Linked DNA regions of Arabidopsis thaliana. The protein of the gene in region 4 purifies or fractionates together with the protein of the main gene of each other region. This does not show direct contact. Each region holds a gene or a part of one and is shown on either strand. Other genes may lie near its edges. The genes, in order: TIR1, RUB1, SLY1 and CUL1.

Evidence for each region.
Region 1: the proteins of CUL1 (region 4) and TIR1 purify together in Arabidopsis thaliana (affinity purification with western blotting; 4 studies listed by BioGRID, with this or other methods). This does not show direct contact.
Region 2: the proteins of CUL1 (region 4) and RUB1 purify together in Arabidopsis thaliana (affinity purification with western blotting; 2 studies listed by BioGRID). This does not show direct contact.
Region 3: the proteins of CUL1 (region 4) and SLY1 purify together in Arabidopsis thaliana (affinity purification with western blotting; 2 studies listed by BioGRID). This does not show direct contact.

Annotation. Positions count from the first base shown.
Region 1 is NC_003074.8:23,272,554-23,278,303, reverse strand, and holds TIR1 (F-box/RNI-like superfamily protein), read left to right. Parts: upstream 1-1,673; 5' UTR 1,674-2,122; coding exon 2,123-2,589; intron 2,590-3,322; coding exon 3,323-3,815; intron 3,816-4,000; coding exon 4,001-4,825; 3' UTR 4,826-5,239; downstream 5,240-5,750. Other genes in the region: AT3G62970 (zinc finger (C3HC4-type RING finger) family protein), read right to left, coding at 5,606-5,743. UniProt on the Arabidopsis thaliana protein: Auxin receptor that mediates Aux/IAA proteins proteasomal degradation and auxin-regulated transcription.
Region 2 is NC_003070.9:11,217,156-11,221,335, forward strand, and holds RUB1 (uncharacterized protein), read right to left. Parts: upstream 2,464-4,180; 5' UTR 2,263-2,463; coding exon 2,170-2,262; intron 1,766-2,169; coding exon 1,506-1,765; intron 1,039-1,505; coding exon 921-1,038; 3' UTR 540-920; downstream 1-539. Other genes in the region: AT1G31335 (uncharacterized protein), read right to left, coding at 1-174. UniProt on the Arabidopsis thaliana protein: Ubiquitin exists either covalently attached to another protein, or free (unanchored).
Region 3 is NC_003075.7:12,561,506-12,564,986, forward strand, and holds SLY1 (F-box family protein), read left to right. Parts: upstream 1-1,773; 5' UTR 1,774-2,152; coding exon 2,153-2,608; 3' UTR 2,609-2,977; downstream 2,978-3,481. Other genes in the region: AT4G24204 (RING/U-box superfamily protein), read right to left, coding at 564-943, 1,048-1,117, 1,224-1,310. UniProt on the Arabidopsis thaliana protein: Essential component of the SCF-type E3 ligase complex, SCF(GID2), a complex that positively regulates the gibberellin signaling pathway.
Region 4 is NC_003075.7:1,126,700-1,134,294, reverse strand, and holds CUL1 (cullin 1), read right to left. Parts: upstream 5,781-7,595; 5' UTR 5,632-5,780; exon of another isoform or gene 5,538-5,631; 5' UTR 5,482-5,537; exon of another isoform or gene 5,437-5,481; intron 5,013-5,436; 5' UTR 4,981-5,012; coding exon 4,850-4,980; intron 4,764-4,849; coding exon 4,664-4,763; intron 4,490-4,663; coding exon 4,304-4,489; intron 4,222-4,303; coding exon 4,174-4,221; intron 4,085-4,173; coding exon 3,881-4,084; intron 3,793-3,880; coding exon 3,715-3,792; intron 3,515-3,714; coding exon 3,425-3,514; intron 3,343-3,424; coding exon 3,262-3,342; intron 3,140-3,261; coding exon 3,080-3,139; intron 3,000-3,079; coding exon 2,970-2,999; intron 2,866-2,969; coding exon 2,779-2,865; intron 2,688-2,778; coding exon 2,538-2,687; intron 2,465-2,537; coding exon 2,409-2,464; intron 2,223-2,408; coding exon 2,102-2,222; intron 2,010-2,101; coding exon 1,848-2,009; intron 1,763-1,847; coding exon 1,619-1,762; intron 1,537-1,618; coding exon 1,318-1,536; and 6 more. Other genes in the region: LD (Homeodomain-like superfamily protein), read left to right, coding at 6,043-6,207, 6,501-6,528, 6,682-6,812, 6,942-7,309, 7,404-7,497, 7,582-7,595.

The DNA.
Region 1 (5,750 bases), on a different chromosome or scaffold from region 4:
AATGCAGTCTGTAATATTCTCGGCTTTTAGGTACACAATTTATAATTCATTCAGAGTTGGATCTAATATCGCTGAAGAGATAATTAAAAAAATAATTAGGGAGATAATTAAGGGATAATAGACAGCAAAGAGCAAGCTAGTTTTGAGTACGAAACCCGAGACTAGGAGAAAGAAATAAGAGAGATTCGCGGGGGAGCCATGCGTGGGATTATTATTCTAATCATTTCCTTAAAAAATTCATAATCAATGACCTCTTATTATATCAGTGTAAGTTAATCCCTTTTTCTGACGACATTAAAACTTATAATTTTAAAAAAACTTAAGCGTATTACGTGCAAGACAACTCAGCTCCACACTTCTCCCATCTGACTATACTCAGCCCTCTCTTTGTTTTTTCCTAATTATCTCTTTCTTCGTTACTACCTCAATTTCTGAGCACTTGCTTGCTACATTTTTTTTTTTTAAAATCTTCGTATTTGTATGTATGTCATTATAATTTTTAGATTTTATTTTTGGTTTAAGAACTAATCAACAGTACATTCAAAAAGAAAACTAGAAAGGTGCGATATTTTAAATAGTAGTTTAAGTGGATAAACGGTCAGGATGGTATGTAATACGAAGATGATATAGAACAGTTTGATAATGTGACAAGTTTTTTTAGTTAGGGCAGGACAGACCTATCAACTCCATGCTCAGACTCTGCAAAGCCCATCATACACTGTTTCGAGAAGAAGGGCATTCTCGTCAATTCAATACCCATTTATTTTCCTCTAAGCCGTTGTACTTGCGACAGAGCCCGAAATAATTGTAGTTTTTATACGTTTATTACACCCAGACGAGGTAAATTAATTAAGAAGTAATTATTAATTTTAAAAGTCACGATTGTGTATGTATGTATGTCCGTACACTGTTAAAAAGGGGTCCCAGATCTGACGGTCGTGATTAAAATGCGACGCTGCACTTTCTTTCTTTCTTTCTTCTCTACTTTATTCAAATTTTTCAGTATCCATTCTTTCTCTCTCTTTTTTTCTTTCTCTACTCATAAAAGTTGTTCACTTTAAATTATTGGATACTTCCCTCACATTTACTCTTTTTTGTGCAATCCTTTCAATTTTAATTTAAATTATTCAGCAATCTTCAAAAACATACAAATAATGTTTTAATCCAATCTCACACGAAAACACTGATTCTTGTTATGTTAATTCATCATTCAACTCTATTTACTTCACTTTAATGCTATGAGAAAGGATACACTTTAGTTAATCAAATTTATCAATACTATATATTACTAGAAAATAGAAAATGAAACTGTGATTAGTCTTGATGGTTTATTTATGAATCCAAGTGGTGGGTAAATAAATGAACATGCAAAACTAATAATAGGAGGAGATAGATGCTCAGATTCCACATCAAAACATGATTGGACGGTTGTGATGTCATCATAAATAACAGTAATAGCTTCTTTTTTTATTGTTTTGTTACCGTCAGATCATTAGTAGTCTAGTATTTTTTTTAACATTCTGTTGTGGTCCCCGCAATTTACGGGGCTTCCCCTCATATCCAGCCGTGCATCGCGTATCATTAGATTCCCTCTTCTCCTACACCTTACCACACCCTATCATTGATCTCCTTCTCGCGCTATTTTGATAGAAGCCGCGATAAGCCGACCCCCCCTCTCCAATATCTCGTCCCGTTTTCTGCGGCTGCCCTTCTCTGCACAGTCGATAAGATAATCTCCCGCTTTCATTCAATCGGACGGCTGGTATTTGAAGCTTATAAGACACGTGTCATCATCAGAATCGACAATCACAATCACCGAAAAGGCTCACATGGATATGTTTGACCACGGTTAACTTTTAACCCAACCATGGTTGGCTTTTTTAACTTGACCTCCTTCTCCTTCCCCCTATCCTTTTCTCTTCTCTTCCCACTCTCTCTCTCTCTCTATCTATCTTCTTCATCTTTGTTTCAGCTTCTCCTTTGAAACTAGATTATCTCCGTTAATGGCGCCTCAGATCTAACCTTGGGAGTTATATATATATACTTGTTCAACTCTTCTTCGAACGCTGTCCAACTTCTTCCTCTGGTTCGATCATCGAGATCTCGAGGTTATTTGGCCGCAATGCAGAAGCGAATAGCCTTGTCGTTTCCAGAAGAGGTACTAGAGCATGTGTTCTCGTTTATTCAGCTGGATAAGGATAGGAACTCAGTCTCTCTGGTGTGCAAGTCATGGTACGAGATCGAGCGGTGGTGCAGGAGGAAAGTCTTCATCGGGAACTGCTACGCCGTGAGTCCAGCGACGGTGATTAGGAGGTTCCCGAAAGTGAGATCCGTGGAGCTTAAAGGAAAACCTCACTTTGCTGACTTTAATTTGGTACCTGACGGATGGGGAGGTTACGTGTATCCATGGATTGAGGCCATGTCTTCGTCTTACACGTGGCTTGAAGAGATAAGGCTGAAGAGGATGGTGGTCACCGACGATTGCTTGGAGCTCATAGCCAAGTCTTTTAAGAATTTTAAGGTTCTTGTGCTTTCTTCCTGCGAAGGCTTCTCCACCGATGGTCTCGCTGCTATCGCTGCCACTTGCAGGTATTCTTTTTCTGAATGTTTTTTGTTTCATCAAGAAGACTCCCTTGTGTCTCTAGGAAGAAGCTTTTGTTTGTATTAAACTTATTGGTGTGTGATTTGTATATTCATTATACTACATAAAGTCTCAATTATAGCAAATTCATGTACTTGTTATTTGATCTGGGCATATAGGTTTTGCTGCGTTGTTCCTGCTGATGTTACTCTGGTCTTTGTGAGCTTTTTTTTGGTTTGGTCAAGATTTTGCGTATCTAAAAGATATATGTTTTAATCACGTTTCTGAAGATTCTTATTATAGCCACTCTCTTTTTCTTTCTGGTGGGTCTTATTTAACGGTGGTGTATCTATTTATTCCTGGATTATTCGCTCTCAGTGAATCTCCTGAGGTGGGAAATCTAATCAATTTGGCTTTGTGTGTGTTACTTTTCTTTTTGTAGGGGACTTTCAATTTTCTTTTTTTACCTTGTTGGGAAACTTAGATCTGTTTTCGGATTCCCCTTCTTTACTCGCTTTAGCTCTGTTTTAGCATCTCTCACATTGCTTCCACGTGATAAATTTAGTAATTTGTTATTGTTCTATGCTTAGATAGTTTCCCAAAGTGATCTTTCTACATTGTATCAAATACAACTTTGGACAAATTAATGACAATTATGCTCATGTATTGTAGGCAATGTTTATGTTCTCGAAGTTGTATAATGTGGGTCACTCGATGCTAATTATGTGATTTCTTATGCAGGAATCTGAAAGAGCTTGACTTACGAGAGAGTGATGTTGACGACGTTAGTGGCCACTGGCTTAGCCATTTCCCAGATACATACACTTCTTTGGTATCACTCAATATATCTTGCTTAGCATCTGAGGTCAGTTTCTCTGCTCTGGAAAGGCTGGTGACTAGGTGTCCCAATCTCAAGTCTCTCAAGCTTAACCGAGCTGTTCCACTTGAAAAATTGGCTACTTTACTTCAAAGAGCACCTCAATTGGAGGAATTGGGCACTGGTGGGTACACTGCAGAAGTGCGACCAGATGTTTACTCTGGTTTATCTGTAGCGCTCTCTGGGTGCAAGGAATTGAGGTGCTTATCTGGATTTTGGGATGCTGTTCCTGCCTATCTTCCAGCAGTTTATTCGGTTTGCAGTCGGCTTACAACTTTGAATCTGAGTTATGCAACAGTCCAGAGCTATGATCTTGTCAAGCTTCTTTGTCAATGCCCTAAACTGCAGCGCCTCTGGGTGAGTCCATTTTAACATACATTAACACATGAATTTGGAATAGGTCATTTTACTGTATGGTATGAGAAAGCTTATGTTCATAGTTTTCTTAAAAAATTTGAATGATATAGAGCAATATATCTGAATTATAAGCATTAAAGCCTTTTTCTTTTTGTAACTGTGCTCTAACTTATTATTGACTACAGGTGCTTGACTACATCGAGGATGCTGGTCTTGAGGTGCTTGCTTCAACCTGCAAGGACCTACGCGAGCTGAGAGTGTTTCCGTCCGAGCCTTTTGTCATGGAACCAAATGTGGCATTGACGGAACAGGGGCTTGTCTCCGTCTCCATGGGCTGTCCAAAACTCGAGTCGGTTCTCTACTTCTGCCGTCAAATGACCAATGCTGCATTGATAACCATTGCTAGGAACCGTCCCAACATGACTCGCTTCCGTTTGTGCATCATTGAGCCAAAAGCCCCAGACTATCTGACTCTAGAGCCACTGGATATTGGATTTGGAGCCATAGTAGAGCACTGCAAGGATCTCCGTCGCCTCTCTCTATCTGGCCTCTTGACCGACAAGGTTTTTGAATACATTGGGACATATGCCAAGAAGATGGAAATGCTCTCAGTGGCATTTGCAGGAGACAGTGACTTAGGCATGCATCATGTTTTGTCCGGGTGCGATAGCTTGAGGAAACTAGAGATAAGGGACTGCCCGTTTGGAGACAAGGCGCTTTTGGCCAATGCTTCAAAGCTGGAGACAATGCGATCCCTTTGGATGTCTTCTTGTTCCGTGAGTTTTGGAGCCTGCAAGTTACTAGGACAGAAGATGCCAAAGCTGAATGTGGAAGTCATCGATGAACGGGGTGCACCGGACTCGAGACCAGAGAGCTGCCCTGTTGAGAGAGTCTTCATATACCGAACAGTGGCTGGTCCTCGATTTGACATGCCTGGCTTCGTCTGGAACATGGACCAAGACTCAACAATGAGGTTTTCCAGGCAAATCATTACTACTAACGGATTATAAGACAAAGAAACGAGGTACATTTTTCATTAATCCTTGTTCATCATCCCATATAATCGTGTTCCGGTTTAGGAACATGAGAGAGCTCGGTCGCCAATAATTTGAATCTCGGCTGCTTCATATAACCATCAAGCTCATGAGCAATGAATAAGTGGAGAGAGAGAAAGAGAGATCTAAGAGAGCTTTGTTTTATTTATGTAAGAATTATTGATTGTTGTATGTTTATTTGGCTACTTACACTGAGAGATCCTGGTGGGGTATTTTTCTTAAGAGGATAAGAGATTTTTTTAAAAGACAATGTCAAAAATGTAACTGTTCTACTTGTTTTGTTTGGACTCTTTTATCCTTTTAAATGTTTTCTATCTCTCTCTCTCTTTGTCTTTGCCATTTCCTTTGTCCGCTTAATGAACTGTTTGCAGCCTTTTCGGTTTTGGAACAGCACCTAGTTTCGTCTCAGGTCCCTACACTCTCTTTATCACCATAATTAGAAACAAGAGAATCTTGCTCTGTGTAAAGGTCTTGGAATAGCATCATCGTCAAACGTGTGATAGGACACAATGTAATTGAACTGTTGTTTTTCATATGAAAAACAAGCTTTTTCAAATTTTCAGTTTACATGATGACTAAACACAGTAATACCATTTATATAACAGTACGATATTTTCCGTTTCAAGTGTTTTTAGGCCAAGAACAAAAATAAATAAGCAGAACACAGCCCTATCGCTCTATGGTTGGACCAATGACGGGAAAATTCAATGAAGAAGAGTTGGCTTCAGAAAATGATCACTCTGTTTCACTCACTGGATCTTGTGGCGTTGAGATTCTCCGAGTGTTGTATGAACCGCAATCACTGCACTTGTGTCCCAAAATGTGGAACATAGCTTTACTCCCCTTGTTGCAGTCATTGCAGAGAATTGAAACCTGCAGA
Region 2 (4,180 bases), on a different chromosome or scaffold from region 4:
CAACGGCGGAGAGGAGGCGGCGATAGCACCGGGAGGCGGAGCTGGAGCTCCATACACCTGAGGATTTGTACGGATCTCACGACGGCCGCGAGATTTTCCGAGGAAGTAGCAGCCAAATCCGAGAAGTAGACAGAAGAAAATTAGAGGCAGAGATATGACCACAACCAAACCCATCGATCTTGACTCTTGAGATCTATGTTCAATCTTCTTTCTGATTGATTTTTATTCTTGGACTCTTGTTCTTGCTTTGATTCTACTTCACATGTATTTATATGTATGAGTTTGTGGGAGGCTCTGGAAGGATCCGATTCTGTCCGCAACGTTTATGTCTTGTAAAGCTTTAAAGCTTAACGTTTAAATCTCAACGGTCATCTTTTTTTTTGGTCGGCCCATCCATACGATTTCTTCTAGTTTTTATAATCACATTAGTCATGTCTCATGTGCTTTTCTGGCTATGAAAGTATAGAGAATCAAACTCAAGTTGACAAGTTAAGTTACTTAGAAAATTAAAGTAAAAATTGTTAAATGTGATGGACACTCATTGGATTTGACGATTTGTAACCACTATTTCATTGTAATGCAAATAAATATGGGACTATTGATGGACTCATGCAACCAGCAATCTCAATCGGCCTGGTCCGATCTTACACATAGCTCGATCCTATTTTCACATGTCTAGCCTCTTTCTTGAATGAAAGATATTCATCATAAATAGCTAAATCCCAAATAAATATGTTAAAGTACGATTCGATGTTAAACAAAACAAAATGATTCGATATTTAACAGATTATTGGTAAAATGATCCAAACCCAGTGAAACAGCATAATATTCAAAGTATCATATCCAAATTGCAATCACTTTTTTCCCATGAACTCCAACAAGCCATACAAAGAGAAAAAGATATCTTCAAGAGTTACTTCTCAGAGAAGACCAAAACCACCCCTAAGGGCAAGAACCAGATGAAGAACAGAGCCTCCCTCTATGTTGTAGTCCTTTGCCGTTTTGTCATCAGCTAGCTGTTTTCCGGCGTAGATTAGCCTGCAAACATCCATGAGATATATAAGCATCCTAGAAATACTAATGAGAATCACTGTTATATGAGACAGCATAGATTATCAGCTTGCACGCAGAGTAGAATCGTTTGATGCCAAAAGCATAAGTAAACACACTCGAAAGGAGCTGCAATTTTCTCAAGAGGGAAGCAGCCAGTCACTAAAACATGAAAATCAAGTCAATGAACCGCAACTTATACAATCAAGTAAAAGAGCTGAGCTGAAAGGAGCTGCAATTTTCACAAGAGGGGCAAGTCACTAAAACATGAAACTCAAGTCAATAAACTGCAACCTATCTTATACAATCAGTTTTGACTCAACCACACAAACAACTCTAAGAGAGCTGAGACAGATATCACAAAGAGTTAATATAGTTCAAGACTCAATGTTCCCAAGGCAAAAACTTTGCGACTCAATTCTTCTGAAGTAACTGGAAAAAAAGAAGTTATTTACCTTTGTTGAACAGGAGGGATACCTTCTTTCTCCTCAACACGTTCCTTAATCCGATCAATAGTATCGGTTGGTTCGATATCAATCTCAATTTCCTTCCCTGTGAGAGTCTTCACCTTAATCATAGTCCCACCCCTAAGCCTCAATACCAAGTGAAGAGTCGATTCTTTCTGAATGTTGTAATCCGCTAATGTTCTACCATCTTCAAGCTGCTTACCAGCAAATATCAACCTCTGTTGATCAGGTGGTATTCCCTCTTTGTCCTGTTTTCATCAAATCCCATCCATTCATAAACCAATTAGAAGAAGACCAAATCAAAAGATCATTAACAATAATCTTAATCCAATCTTCTTAAACTCAGAAACAATTAACCATTCTCAAGCAATTCACATACCTTCAAGTGTACCATAAAACATAAACAAATACGAAATTAAGCAAACACATGAAGGATTAAGAGAGCCTTTGTGCTTACTGTTACACAGAAATCTAAAGAAATCTTAACATCGATCGCTAGATAATCGGGGAAAGAAAACCTAAAAATCAATCAAACAAAGCAAACCAATCTGTGTCTCCAACAATCAAACAAATTCATAGTGCAAAACCCTAGAATCCTAAGAAAAGCACGAGGAGGTGGAATTGGGAGACGGAGAAAGAGAGAAAGAGAAACCTGAATTTTGGCTTTGACATTGTCGATGGTGTCGCTGCTTTCGACCTCTAGGGTTATGGTTTTTCCGGTGAGGGTTTTGACGAAGATCTGCATTTTTTTTTTCCTTTCTTCGCTGAAATGGTGTTTATGAATATTATTACGGACGGGAAAAGTATTATATATATACAAATAAAATTTGGGATATAGTTTTGAGGATTTTGGAATAAAAATACTTTTTGAAAGATTTGGAATAAATCCTTTGATAGAATTCGTAATTAGCTTTTGGGCTACGCTATTATTTCTTCTCCATTTCTTATATAATTTTACTAACAATTTTAAAAATTATCTTTAAATCAAATATATTAATGTGGCTTTAAATATATTGAGATTTTTTTGTTTGTTTGTTATTTTAGGATATTTAACTTTTAAAAACAAAAATTAAAAGAGTTTTTAGATTTTGTACTAAAATTAGTTTTCTTAGATTTTAAGAAAATATGGGGACATTGAATTTTTTTTTTAGTTTTAGAACCAAAAACGAAAACAACAAATTGTTGACATTCAATTTTGTTGGAATCTAGAGCTTAGTGCAAAACCCACTAGTCTCTACATACTATGGACCATGTTGTGGCAGTGAGTGGTTTGACGCGAAACCTCTTAAATACTATGGTCAAAGAGATCAAGCTATGTTCAATTTTAGACGGTGATAAACCTGAAAGGTCAAATGGAAGAATCTTAAAAGCTCGACAACATTTCATTGGACTTGAATGGGTTGTCTCTCTAGCTAGCGTTTTGTTATTATAAACGCAGACTCATCGTGAAAGAATTCACCCTTTCATGTAGGTATTGGAGACGCTTCACGCTTGTTTGGACCATATGTGTATCCCAATGGCATCATACCAAAATTAAAGACATCTCTCTAACCGTTTTCTTCTCAACCACTAAAAAGCCTTTTCACCATCTTTATTCAAACTTGTTCACATATAGAACCCATGTGATTTTAAAAGTATGAACCATATGATAGATTACAAGATGGTCCACATTGACGTGAAGAGCTCATATAAAAGATGGCCTTTATTTCTTGTCAATTTATCACAAAGAGGTCTCTCATTAAGCCCAATGGATCGGATAATTTTAAATCCAACCCAATAGATCACTTTTCTCAATTCTCTATTCTAAGGTTTTTAAGCTTTGGTTTCTACATATAAATTCAATTAATTTTCTGCTGATTTTTTATTTTCACTGACATATGTTAGCTTTCTGAAAGTTGGTTTCAGTCAATTGAAAATTGAAATCAGTTATTCAACACCACAATAAAGATGCAACGAAAAAACAAAAACAAGTTACACATAGCTAACGCCTTACAATGCATGAGAGGACTTTATAAAATAGGTGATTCTTATCCATATTTTTGTATGTCTACATCTTGAGTTGTTGAATAAACGTGGTTTGTTCTGGTTTACTCCAAGTTGGTGAGTCTCTTAACATTATAGCATCACCGATGGCTTTTGGTCAGTTTTGGTATGCTTAATCAATCTCCATAAAATAGAACAGATAATAGGTAAATGAACCATTATAAATCTCATCAAACTTAAATATTAACTTAAAATCAAATGATAAAATGAATCGACTCCCCAATGTATATATGAATAAAAGGTTTAAATGCATGTAGCGGACGAAATTCGCTAAACGATTAGCGAATTAGATTATTATATTTTTGGGATAGATAACAATCTATTGTATACCAAATTTATTTCTATGTACAAACGGATCATAGTTAGTCCGCATCAGATTTGTTATATTTTTTGACATGTACTACTATAAATTATACTAGAGGTTCACTCCATAAACGGATTCGTCCACTCCAACTATCGTAACCATTCGTATCCAAAATTTTATTTTATTTGATATGTGAAATTTCTAATAATTGTACGTTGATTCATAAAGGAGAGAGAGATATTCCATATTTCCACAACCAAACAGATTTTTATTTTTAACTACGAGTTGAATAAAAATTATATAAAGTTGTATACCA
Region 3 (3,481 bases), about 11 Mb from region 4:
CACTAATCCAATGTTATTCAATTAATGATTCTAAACTATACTTTAAAATCTGTTGTTATGAAATCTTTACATTTGTAAATCATGCTTACTAGAATCTATAATTTGGTGTTATTCAACTAAGATTTTAAATACTTTCATTAACATCCAATGTTATGAAACTCCGAAAAAATTTCATTTCAAATGGCTCAAAATAGATTTTTAAAAATAATTTCAAATTTCAAATCTAAACTTTACAGAATTGATTTTAATTTCATGATACACCCCCAAAAACGCAAACAGTTGGCATGATAAATACAAATCGGTTTACCGAAAAAGAAACAAATCCAAATGCTAGTGTGTACATTGGCATGGAATTGTCTTTGTTTTTGGTTGTTAAAGAATTGCATTGTTAAATTACAGATTGTATGGAATTATAGTCTTGTGGTGACACCAAAGATACTCGGATCTTTCTTTCACTTGTGTCGCTGAAAACTGAAAAGAACAAATAATAATAAAACGCAAAGCAAAGGGCGTTTCTTGGAAGCATGAGTTCGCAAAATGGTGATTAGGCAAAGCAACGGCGCTCAAAGCTTTTTCAACACTAATCTCTTTGATTTGCGTATCACCCTTCGGCAAATCGGACACACCTTACTTTCTTCCGACAAGATCCTTTGAGCACAGCCGCGACAAGTGGCAGAGTGACCACACGGTACAAAGAAACAGTTTCTACGTTCCTCGAAGCATATAACACACAGTGTCGAGTAGTCCACATCATCCGACGAGCTAAACGACGCCGTTTCTACATCTCCCTTCCCCGTTACCTCCAACGACTCATTGATCAACGGCGGCGTCCAATCGGTGGTGACTTCTTCTTCTGCCACCAATGGTAGCCTCTGTGTGTCATCCTCCATGTCACATTCGCTCAGGAATTTCAATACCAAATAAGTAATCGTCATTATTGTTCCTGAGAAACAATAACAAAAACAAAAAAACAAACAAATTAGCTCTACATTGAAGATAAATAGTACTCCATATGTTAATTATATAAATATGGGAGAAATATAGTACCCAAAACTGTAATATAAATCACCACTCTAGCTGAGAAGGATAGCCCCAAGTACCATCGAACGAACTCATCCTGCAAAATACAAGTTACTCGCATATATATATTAATCCATGGTTTCGTCAAGTTTTTTTTTTTATATAGAAAATTGAGTAGAGCTAGGAGCTAGAGGGGTACTCGCGTTATCCGATGGTAACTTGATGGAATTTAGTTTACGGAAGAACATATATAGAAGCTGCAGACATTTTGAGATCGTGGCATCGAACATTTTCGAGAGAAAAGAATGATCCAGTGAAGATAGAAATGATTTGTTCTCATCTGAAGTTATATTGAATTTCTTATTGTTTGTTAGAGAGCATTAAACAAATGAATTTCTGATTAATTCCAAGCAATTGTCATCACTCTGACAGTATATATAGATTGTGTCAAAAGACTCGTCGTGCAATCCATATTTATTAATTTGATCAGAAAAAGAGGCAAAATACAAGTTGCTGACACAAACTTAAAAAGAAAGGTACAGTACAATTTCCTAACTCTGATTTAATAATACCTATTTGTTAAAAAGGACAATTCAAGTGAGAAAATGAAAAGGCACCCAAATAATTCACTCTGTTTAAGTCCTAAACGACTGATTCTTTTATCTGAAAATACGTGATGCTAAATTAGTCAATAGTTGAAATAAGATTTAAAAAATGGATTATCCGTTAATTCACAAAAATTCCTAGAGGTCTCTCTGGTACATTCAATGAACACTCTTTTTAATAGTTGAAAATAAACATTTGGGAAGAACTAAGAAGAAACAACATTATAAGATGGGCTTGGGCTTTTTGTTGTATTGTTTTTTATGTTTTACAATTTTATTTAACAAACAAGATGACAAAAAAAAAAAAAAGGACTCCAAAAGTCCAAAACAGCTATGGAGTATATGAGGGTAAAGTCGTCATTTTACAAAAAGCATTTTTATCTTCGTTTTGTCGTCTTCGAAAGTTCTCAAAGAGAAGGCATCTGAGAAACCCCAATCTCTAATCTTCTTTTCAATTCAATACTTTTTTTTCTCAATCTCTCCTCTCAAATCAAACAACTTTGATTGATCTTCGCAATCGATTCCACATGAAGCGCAGTACTACCGACTCTGATTTGGCCGGTGATGCTCACAACGAGACAAACAAGAAGATGAAGAGTACAGAGGAAGAAGAAATCGGATTCTCCAATTTAGACGAGAATCTAGTGTACGAGGTGTTGAAACACGTCGACGCAAAGACCTTAGCTATGTCATCTTGCGTGAGCAAGATCTGGCACAAAACGGCACAAGACGAGCGGCTTTGGGAGCTGATCTGTACTCGTCACTGGACTAACATCGGCTGCGGGCAGAACCAGCTCAGATCTGTTGTGTTGGCGCTTGGTGGCTTCCGAAGACTCCACTCTCTTTACCTCTGGCCTCTCTCTAAACCCAATCCGCGTGCTAGGTTCGGTAAGGACGAGCTTAAACTCACTCTTTCTCTTCTCTCAATTCGATACTACGAGAAGATGAGTTTCACTAAGAGACCTCTTCCAGAATCCAAATAATTGACTACAAATTATTAGAGTTTGGTTTTGGAGTTTGTGTATTTGGAGTTTGTTGATTGGTAAGTCAGATGTGATGTTCAATGCTGGCAATAAAATTTGTTGGTATCCATAAGCCAGACTGTTAGCAACAGTTGTGTTCTGTAATAATAGAGGGTGATGAGAATTTTTAATTACTGTAATCGGAGCTGATTAAAAGTAGATTTAATATCAAATGTGATTCGATTTTGTTGTAATGGTTCTGTCGTGAAGTTAAGTTGGTCCGTAGTTGGACAATGATTGTAACAAAATCGATTCGTGATCCAGTTTGGTAAGATTAAGAACTGTTAGTGACGATTCTGTTTTATTATTCAATGAAAAACAATGTTCACCAATTTGGTAATAAACCTAACATTCACCACTTTAAGTCCAAACCGGAATCAACGTCAAGCTATGTAATGTTGCTTATTTCTTTATGTCCTTCGTTTGTAACATTTCCCGGTGGTTACTACTCTGTCGGATCCAGTTTTGCCGTCTAGTTTTTACAGCGGTACGATAAATCTCAAATGTTGTTTGATTTGGTTATTCTTGCGATGGTTAGCCTTAATTTCGCTAGATTTATGTGTATTTGAGTGATAGCTACAAGCCTACACATCATTACCATGTACCACCATCTCCTTATTCAAATCAGAATCATTATCGCCGTAACCACTTTTGTCATTTTCTTTTTTTATATGTCGGTAAAGAAAGAATAATGAAATAAAGAGGTGTAAGTAAGAGTCAACAAAATAATTTAAGAGCTTGTGTGAATTGATAAAAACACTCCTTTTCTGTTCTTGGTTTTATATGAAATTTATAAACAAACTCGAGTGATTACAAAGAACTTATAAACCACTT
Region 4 (7,595 bases):
TGCACATCTCCTCGCAGCTTTTTCATCATAGTGCAATGGCATGATTCTTTGTTTGTTTAACAGAATCTCAAGCAAATAAAAAGTGAGAAACATTTGCTCGATGGAGTAAAATGACTCCGCACCTCAAAACATATATGAACAGAATTTCTCCATGTCGTATATATCATTCTCTGTGTAGGCTCCAAATATCGTCTTTGATGATCCGTTCATAATTCATATTAACCCAAAAAAGAAAGAAAAAAGCACATTGGAATCAAGTAATATAATCCACCAGCTCCACCATTAACCCGTTCAAAATTGTTATTAACCTTAACATACCCGTCTTTGTATCCCAATAATATTTCAGATCATCATACAACAGAAAAACGGCTTAAAATATAAGACATTGGTCCTAAGCAGAAACTATTACGGTTCTGGTGGACTATAGCTAATGACGTAGATGATTACAATGATTTTTAATGTTCGGCGATTGAGGAAGGCACCTTCCGTCGGTTCATCTTTGTCTCATTAGCGTTCGATTATAAGAAATCTCATATTATTTGTTACGACTTTCCCATCCGTCAATATAACACAGAGATACATAAAACTTAAATAATATGATCAAGGATAAATATATTAGAAAGCAGAGATTCATTCATTAAGGCCATTTCTCCATCTCCATTCAATATTTAAGAAACAAAAATCCACAAGGCAAATTTGCATCCCAAAAAAAAAGCACAGACCGAATATTTTTTAAAAGAGAAAAATAGCGAAAATGAAGCGATAAATTTGTTTTAGGACAGTCTCCATATGGACTTCTAAATATACAAGCAGATTCCTTTCATGAGCCAACCACTTCCATAGTTGTTGTTTTTTTGCCCTAAGCCAAGTACCTAAACATGTTAGGATTCTCCTTGTCCCTCTCCAAATAATCTCTGGTTATTAAATCCTCCATACGCTTCTTGATCGCTTTGATATCAGGCTGCAACAAACATCACAAATCCAATGAGTTTCATCACCACGTGCATCTTCAAATGTCTCTGTATAAATATAATTATATGTATAATTTACCTTGAACATTCGGCTAAGTTGCTCAACACACTCAGAAACAAGTTGTTGATGTCCCAATACTTTCCTGCTCTTCATGATCCTGACAATGGCAGCATCAATTGCATATCTTCTGTCTTTATCGACATCTTCAACGACTTTCTTCCTTTCATCAACTGGGGGAAGAGGGATCTGTGACGCAAATCACCCAAGTTGATGTTAGTTATTAACAATATGTAAAACATGACATAAACTTGCAGACTTTTGAGTATTACTATTAACGTCACAAACCTTGATTCTGCGCATTCTATCGGTGAATTTGGAGTTGAACTCAAAGGCATCATTCTGGGAGACAGTCTTGGTGTTTGGCTCCTTAAGGAGTATCTTGTACTTAGCACATGACAAGGAATGAAGCAACCTAACTAGATCTTCATGGCTTAGGTTCAGTTGAGCCAAGATCTCAGTGTAACTTAACTTGTCAGTTGTGTTAAAGAGTAGAAGCACAGCAGCCTATAGAGACAGAGAACGTGGCATCAGAGTCCGTTTACAGATAGAAAATATATATCAGTATTTTCTGAGAAACATACAGTACCTGGTAAGTAGACACTATTAACTCGATGGCCTTTTGATCAAACTTCCCGTTTATGTGACAAGTTCCCAGTGAATAGATCCACGTAAGCTTCCTGTGTTTCGTTTTCGTTTCATAAAACCCTTTGAAGACTTCAACACACTTGATCTGAAACAAAGAATCAACGAATTAGATCTATCAGAAGCAAACAATCTCCTTTTCAGGTATGTAAGAAAATCAATAGAGTTTTTACCATTTCACTGGGTAGATTTATGTCAAATGATTTGTAACTTGGCCAGAAACCAGTGGTAAGAACAGTGACGGTCAAGTCAATCCCTGGGTTTGCAGCAGGGTTACTGCCTAGATAATCCTCGAAACTGTTTTGGTTTTCTCTTGCCAGTGTCAAATCCGTCACCTGTCACCAGCGGATTAAAATTATATAGAAAACATAAGTCATCAGAGCACGCACCGCTTTAAAATAAGAAACACAGGGACACTCAAACTAACCATGCCCTCCATCTTAGAAGTAAACTGTCCACCACATTGTTGCTTGAGCTTTGTCAGGATACTTCTCTCATGATCATCATTAGCACTGCGATCAAATAAGAGCCTACGGGCCAGCTTCTTCCTGCAATCAAAACCATAAACAAAATGGCTTGCAACTCAGTAATCCAACTTATGTCAATCAAATTGTATATTGTTGCAAGGCATCTCCACAAAAAGCTAGTAAAAACAAAACATTACAAGAAAAACAAAGAGTAGAAGCAAAAAGAGTCGATCCACAGATAAAGAAAGATTGAAGTTGGAGATAAACCTGTAGAACTCAGCGAAAAGATCCTTGTCACTTATGTATGCAAGCAATTTGACAACCTGTAACAACATTATAAAATTCAGGACCACTCTTTGGAGACTTGAAAAAGAAAAAACAGTTTGACAAAAGTACCTTCTCAAGCGTATCTTCGATAGCTTCATCACTCAGCTTTTCACTTCCCCCCTTTTTGAGAATATTGTCGCAAAATGTTGCAAGTAGTTCTGCACTTGAACTTCCAGCAACCGTTTTGTTACAAAAAATCTCAAATGCCTCTTTCAAAGCCTAAAATATGTTTCCATAAACTTAGGTTAGTAACACAACATAAACATGAATAAGATAGACAAATGACAAGTGCGCAGAAAGAACATTAGACCTTATGGAAGAGGGTGTGGTTCTGGAAACACTCGGTGACATATACCATGTATTTATCATGAAGTTCAATCACTTTTCTGATAAGAACCTGGAAATAATGAAAGGACAGTGAATCGTTAGCAATTTTATCCCCAAAAAAAATGAATCTCTAATTTCCAATATATCTTTACTACAATCGGTTTATAATTTTACCTGTTCCTGGACGCTAGCAGTATTTGCAACCTGTGGAATAAAAACGATCTTAGCAATCACAAACGAAGAAAGAAGAGTTATCCGAATATAACAAGTAAGATAATATGAACCTGATTAGTAGCCGTGTCTTCGGCCTGTTGGACAAGAGCGTTACCCTCTGCTGTGACATGCTGTGAACGAATAACAAGTTACAGTTAATGTCATACAGTAATTAAGAGACTGCAAGTAGACCATGAAGAAAAGACTATCCATTTGCTAATCATAAACAAAAGAATGAAGATAGGTAATAAACCTGCTTAAAGATGTTTGCAACAGGTTCCAAGCCTCGCAAAATTTTATGGTAAAGCCTGTACATCCTGGAGAGATCATCCACCTGAAAGTAGACAAATATAACCATTAAAGAAATAATTAAGTCACTAACTACTCAACAATAAAAACAAAAATACTTGCTCTACCTTGTCATCTCTTAGCAATGCACGGCACCCTGAGTGTTCTTTTTCTAGAAGCTGACTTGCAAACACAACCAGCAATTCATGTTGTACTTTCTGCATACAAAAGATTACTATACAAGTCAAACAGATATCAATCTTTAAAATCAAGTATGCCTGGACTACGCATTTAAAAAGAGTCTGGAAAGTATCTCAATACAAATAACAAAATTCAAAATCAAGGCTTATGCAAGATCTATGGTTTCTTCATCAAACCTACAAGTACAGGCATAATTACATAGTGCATAATAACCAACCTCAACCAGCTTTGGCTCACTGCTTGAGTGTAGGTAGTGAGCCACTCTCTCCCTCTCCTTCTTTAGACATTCTTCAGACTGTAACATGAAAGCACAGAAGTTAATAAATAATTTCAACTATTGTGAAATAAAAACAAATTTTAGAAAATGATATCACGAGTCATGCCTTCAACATGTAATCAGGGCAAGAATCTTCCTGAATCCAGCTTGATGCCTTGCGAGAATAATACGAAGAAGTATCTTGAAGCATGAAGCTTTCAAAATCTTCTTCATACCTCTCCATCTGCCCCATTCCAATCTCTACATAGATATCTAATACGTTTTTCAGCAGGGCCCTATCAATCTGCTCGCCCTCCCGTTCTTTATCAACCTGACAGAAGAACAGGTCATGTTAGACCTTGAATCAGGCAAAAGCCAGAGTTGGATGTAACTGCACAACAATATTGACGCCATACTTACAAGAGCTATTACAGCTTGTTTGACCTTAGAATGTAGCTCATTATAAACCTGAAGCGAACAGAATCAAGGAAAAGTTAAAAATATTTCAATACAACTGAAAGCTATAAAGCCACAGGAATGAATGCCATACCAGGTCACGGAAGCATGTCAGGCCAACTTCATTCAGTGGTGGAAGTGATCTCCGAGCAATGAAGTAACGGTCAAGGTAGTAGAAGAAGCGGGATAGCCATCTGACCATTACTTTATGGTTTGACCATCTTTTAAATAGCTCCCGCAGCATAAACTCATCATGCTTCTCCCTCAACGCAGGCAAAACCTAACCACAGACAACAAGAGAGCAAACATTCAAAACCGTTTGAATCAACTTAAAACCAAGAGGGGACAGGACTTCTTGACATATGAAACCATGCACAAAAGTGGCATCTTAAAATTCAGAGGTAGTAAAAACGAGAAGTTTATAAGAAAGAAACTAAATATCAATCAGACTCACTGTTGAGTTAATATATTCCTCAAATGCTTCCCGATACTTGTCATAAAGCTGCTGTGAGTAATCATGAGGAGGTTTCTGGGTGCACATGTTGTAGATAGTCCTGAGAATCAAATAAATTCCCCATCATAAGTATCAGGACAAACAGCCAAACCGCTATATAAGGTAATAAACAAGTATAAAACCTACGTATAAAGCATCATATATTGCTCAGAGTCAAATGCTGGCTCATTCAATCCTTCCAGAATCCGTTTCAGCTTAGTAATTCCAGTCTGCATATAGTCCCATCCTTGCTCCAAGTCAATAGTCTTGCGCTCCATGTTGACAAACAACTTTTCAAGCTCTCCTCAACCTAAGTTAACCAAAGAACAAGGAGAAAACCAAAATTTAGAACAGCAGTATTAAGCAACACAATGAAATGACTGAAGCGAGAGAGTCAACAATATTTATCATTCTTCAGAGGTTATAATAACACGTTAACACCCACATTATCGAATGCGAAACGAGTATTATCACCCAAATCAAACCCAAACTATCAGATTGTGCGCAAACGAGGACATAAGCATCAGAATATACTCGAGAAACAATCAATCCATGAGATAAACACGAAATTACACAGTAGAAACGCAATCCAGAGACTCCGACGTAACCCTAACAATCTCGATCCCACAAAAATTCAAATAAAAACCTAGAAAGACGAACAATCAACAGAATGATAAAAAAATCAACTGTCGTATGGAACAAAACAAGCGAGAATCCGACAGAAATAGTGATACCTCGAGATCTTAAACCCTAATAATCAGAAAATCGCGTCGCCGTACCCCAAACAGACCCTGACGATTACCGATTCCCGATTACACAGGATCGGCGAGAGCTGCTGCGATCGAAAAAGAAGCGAGAGAGAGAGAGAATCAAAACCCTAAGAATCGTTCAGGAAAAAAGCGTAAAATAGAGAGAAAGAGAGACGAGACCTATGAGAAGGGCGGTGAAAAGATATCTCAGGAAACAAACTCGTTCTCTTCTATTCTATTATTTTCAGGTCTTATAGATTTAATTATTTTTATTTTATGTCAACTAATATATTAGTATAATATTAAACAAATTTAATTTCTTACCTTTTCAGAGATCTACATCAAGACGCTGCGTTTTATAATTTTTCTTTGTAAAGTAACTTATTTACTTTTATGCCCCTTTATTTTGCCTTCCTTACTCAAACCCTAACCCGAATCGGCTTTTTGACAATCCGAAATTAGGTAACCATGTTCATTGAATTTATCGTTTCAACACATTCGAATCACTGAGTCCTACGTTTCAGTTTAATTCCCTGATGCACATTTTGAATTCGGTTTGCGTATTGGTCTTCGAGTTTTCCGTCGGCGGCCATGGACGCGTTCAAGGAGGAGATAGAAATCGGGAGCTCGGTGGAGTCTTTAATGGAGCTATTGGATTCGCAGAAGGTGCTTTTTCATAGCCAGATCGATCAGCTCCAAGATGTCGTCGTTGCGCAATGCAAACTTACCGGCGTTAATCCCCTTGCGCAAGAAATGGTGGGTTATTGTTTCTATGTTTTTTGGTATCTAAAGTTCGTGTTTTATTGGGGTATGGTGATATGGGCAAAGCTGAGAGGGACAGGTCATTCGGATTTTGGAATAAATTCTTTGAAGGGTATTGAGTCTAGCAAAAATTAGAGGTGTTTTTGGTATAAATTCATATAGCTCGACCTCTCCGTTTCTTCTGTGAACTGTAATGGTGATGCTTCAACTGTTTATATGTCATTTCTCTGATCAAGTAATCATCTCTGTTAAAGACATTAATCTGTTTAATTTTTTTGTTGTTTCAGGCTGCTGGTGCTTTGTCCATTAAAATTGGTGAGTCATCTTAGGATTCGTGAGATCTTTTGGCATAATTACGTATATCACAGAGAATGTTTCAATTCATTGTTGCTCTCTAGGTTCATTAAAGGCATACCCAACTTTTACGTGCTCGATGCCTAGTATCTGATGAATTTGTAAATATTTCAGGAAAGCGGCCAAGAGACTTGTTGAATCCTAAGGCTGTTAAGTATCTACAAGCAGTTTTCGCAATTAAAGATGCTATTAGTAAGAGGGAATCTCGGGAGATAAGTGCTTTATTTGGCATCACAGTCGCCCAGGTATTGTTCTTCTACATGATATGTACTCTTTTTTGCCATGCTTTTAGAATTCCATGTCAGTTTAGATCTGTCATGTTGAGGTACTCATGAGACTTTGGTTTGTCTCTTTATTATTTTCTTCAATGGCAGGTTCGAGAATTTTTTGTTACTCAAAAGACAAGAGTGAGGAAACAGGTGAGGCTTTCAAGGGAGAAAGTAGTTATGTCCAATACGCATGCTTTACAAGATGATGGTGTTCCGGAAAATAACAATGCCACAAATCATGTTGAACCCGTTCCCTTGAACTCTATACATCCGGAGGCATGTTCTATAAGCTGGGGTGAAGGTGAAACAGTGGCACTTATTCCACCTGAAGATATTCCACCTGACATCAGCGATTCAGACAAATACTTTGTTGAGAATATATTTTCTCTGCTGCGTAAAGAGGAAACATTTTCAGGCCAGGTGAAACTAATGGAGTGGATCATGCAGATACAAGATGCTTCTGTGCTGATCTGGTACTAGTTGGGGGTTCTCTTTCACCCACTGTCTTATTTTATTTTATTGTTATTATATTCCCGTCTTGACAGTCATTTTCTATATGTGCCACAGGTTTTTATCAAAAGGAGGGGTTTTGATACTTACAACATGGTTAAGTCAAGCTGCTAGTGAAGAGCAAACAAGTGTCTTACTTCTTATCCTGAAGGTACGAGATTAATTTACTTGCAGCTGGATGGCTGTAAAAATATGCAGATTGTTTTATTATGGATAATTGACATTTAACACGCAGGTTCTTTGTCATTT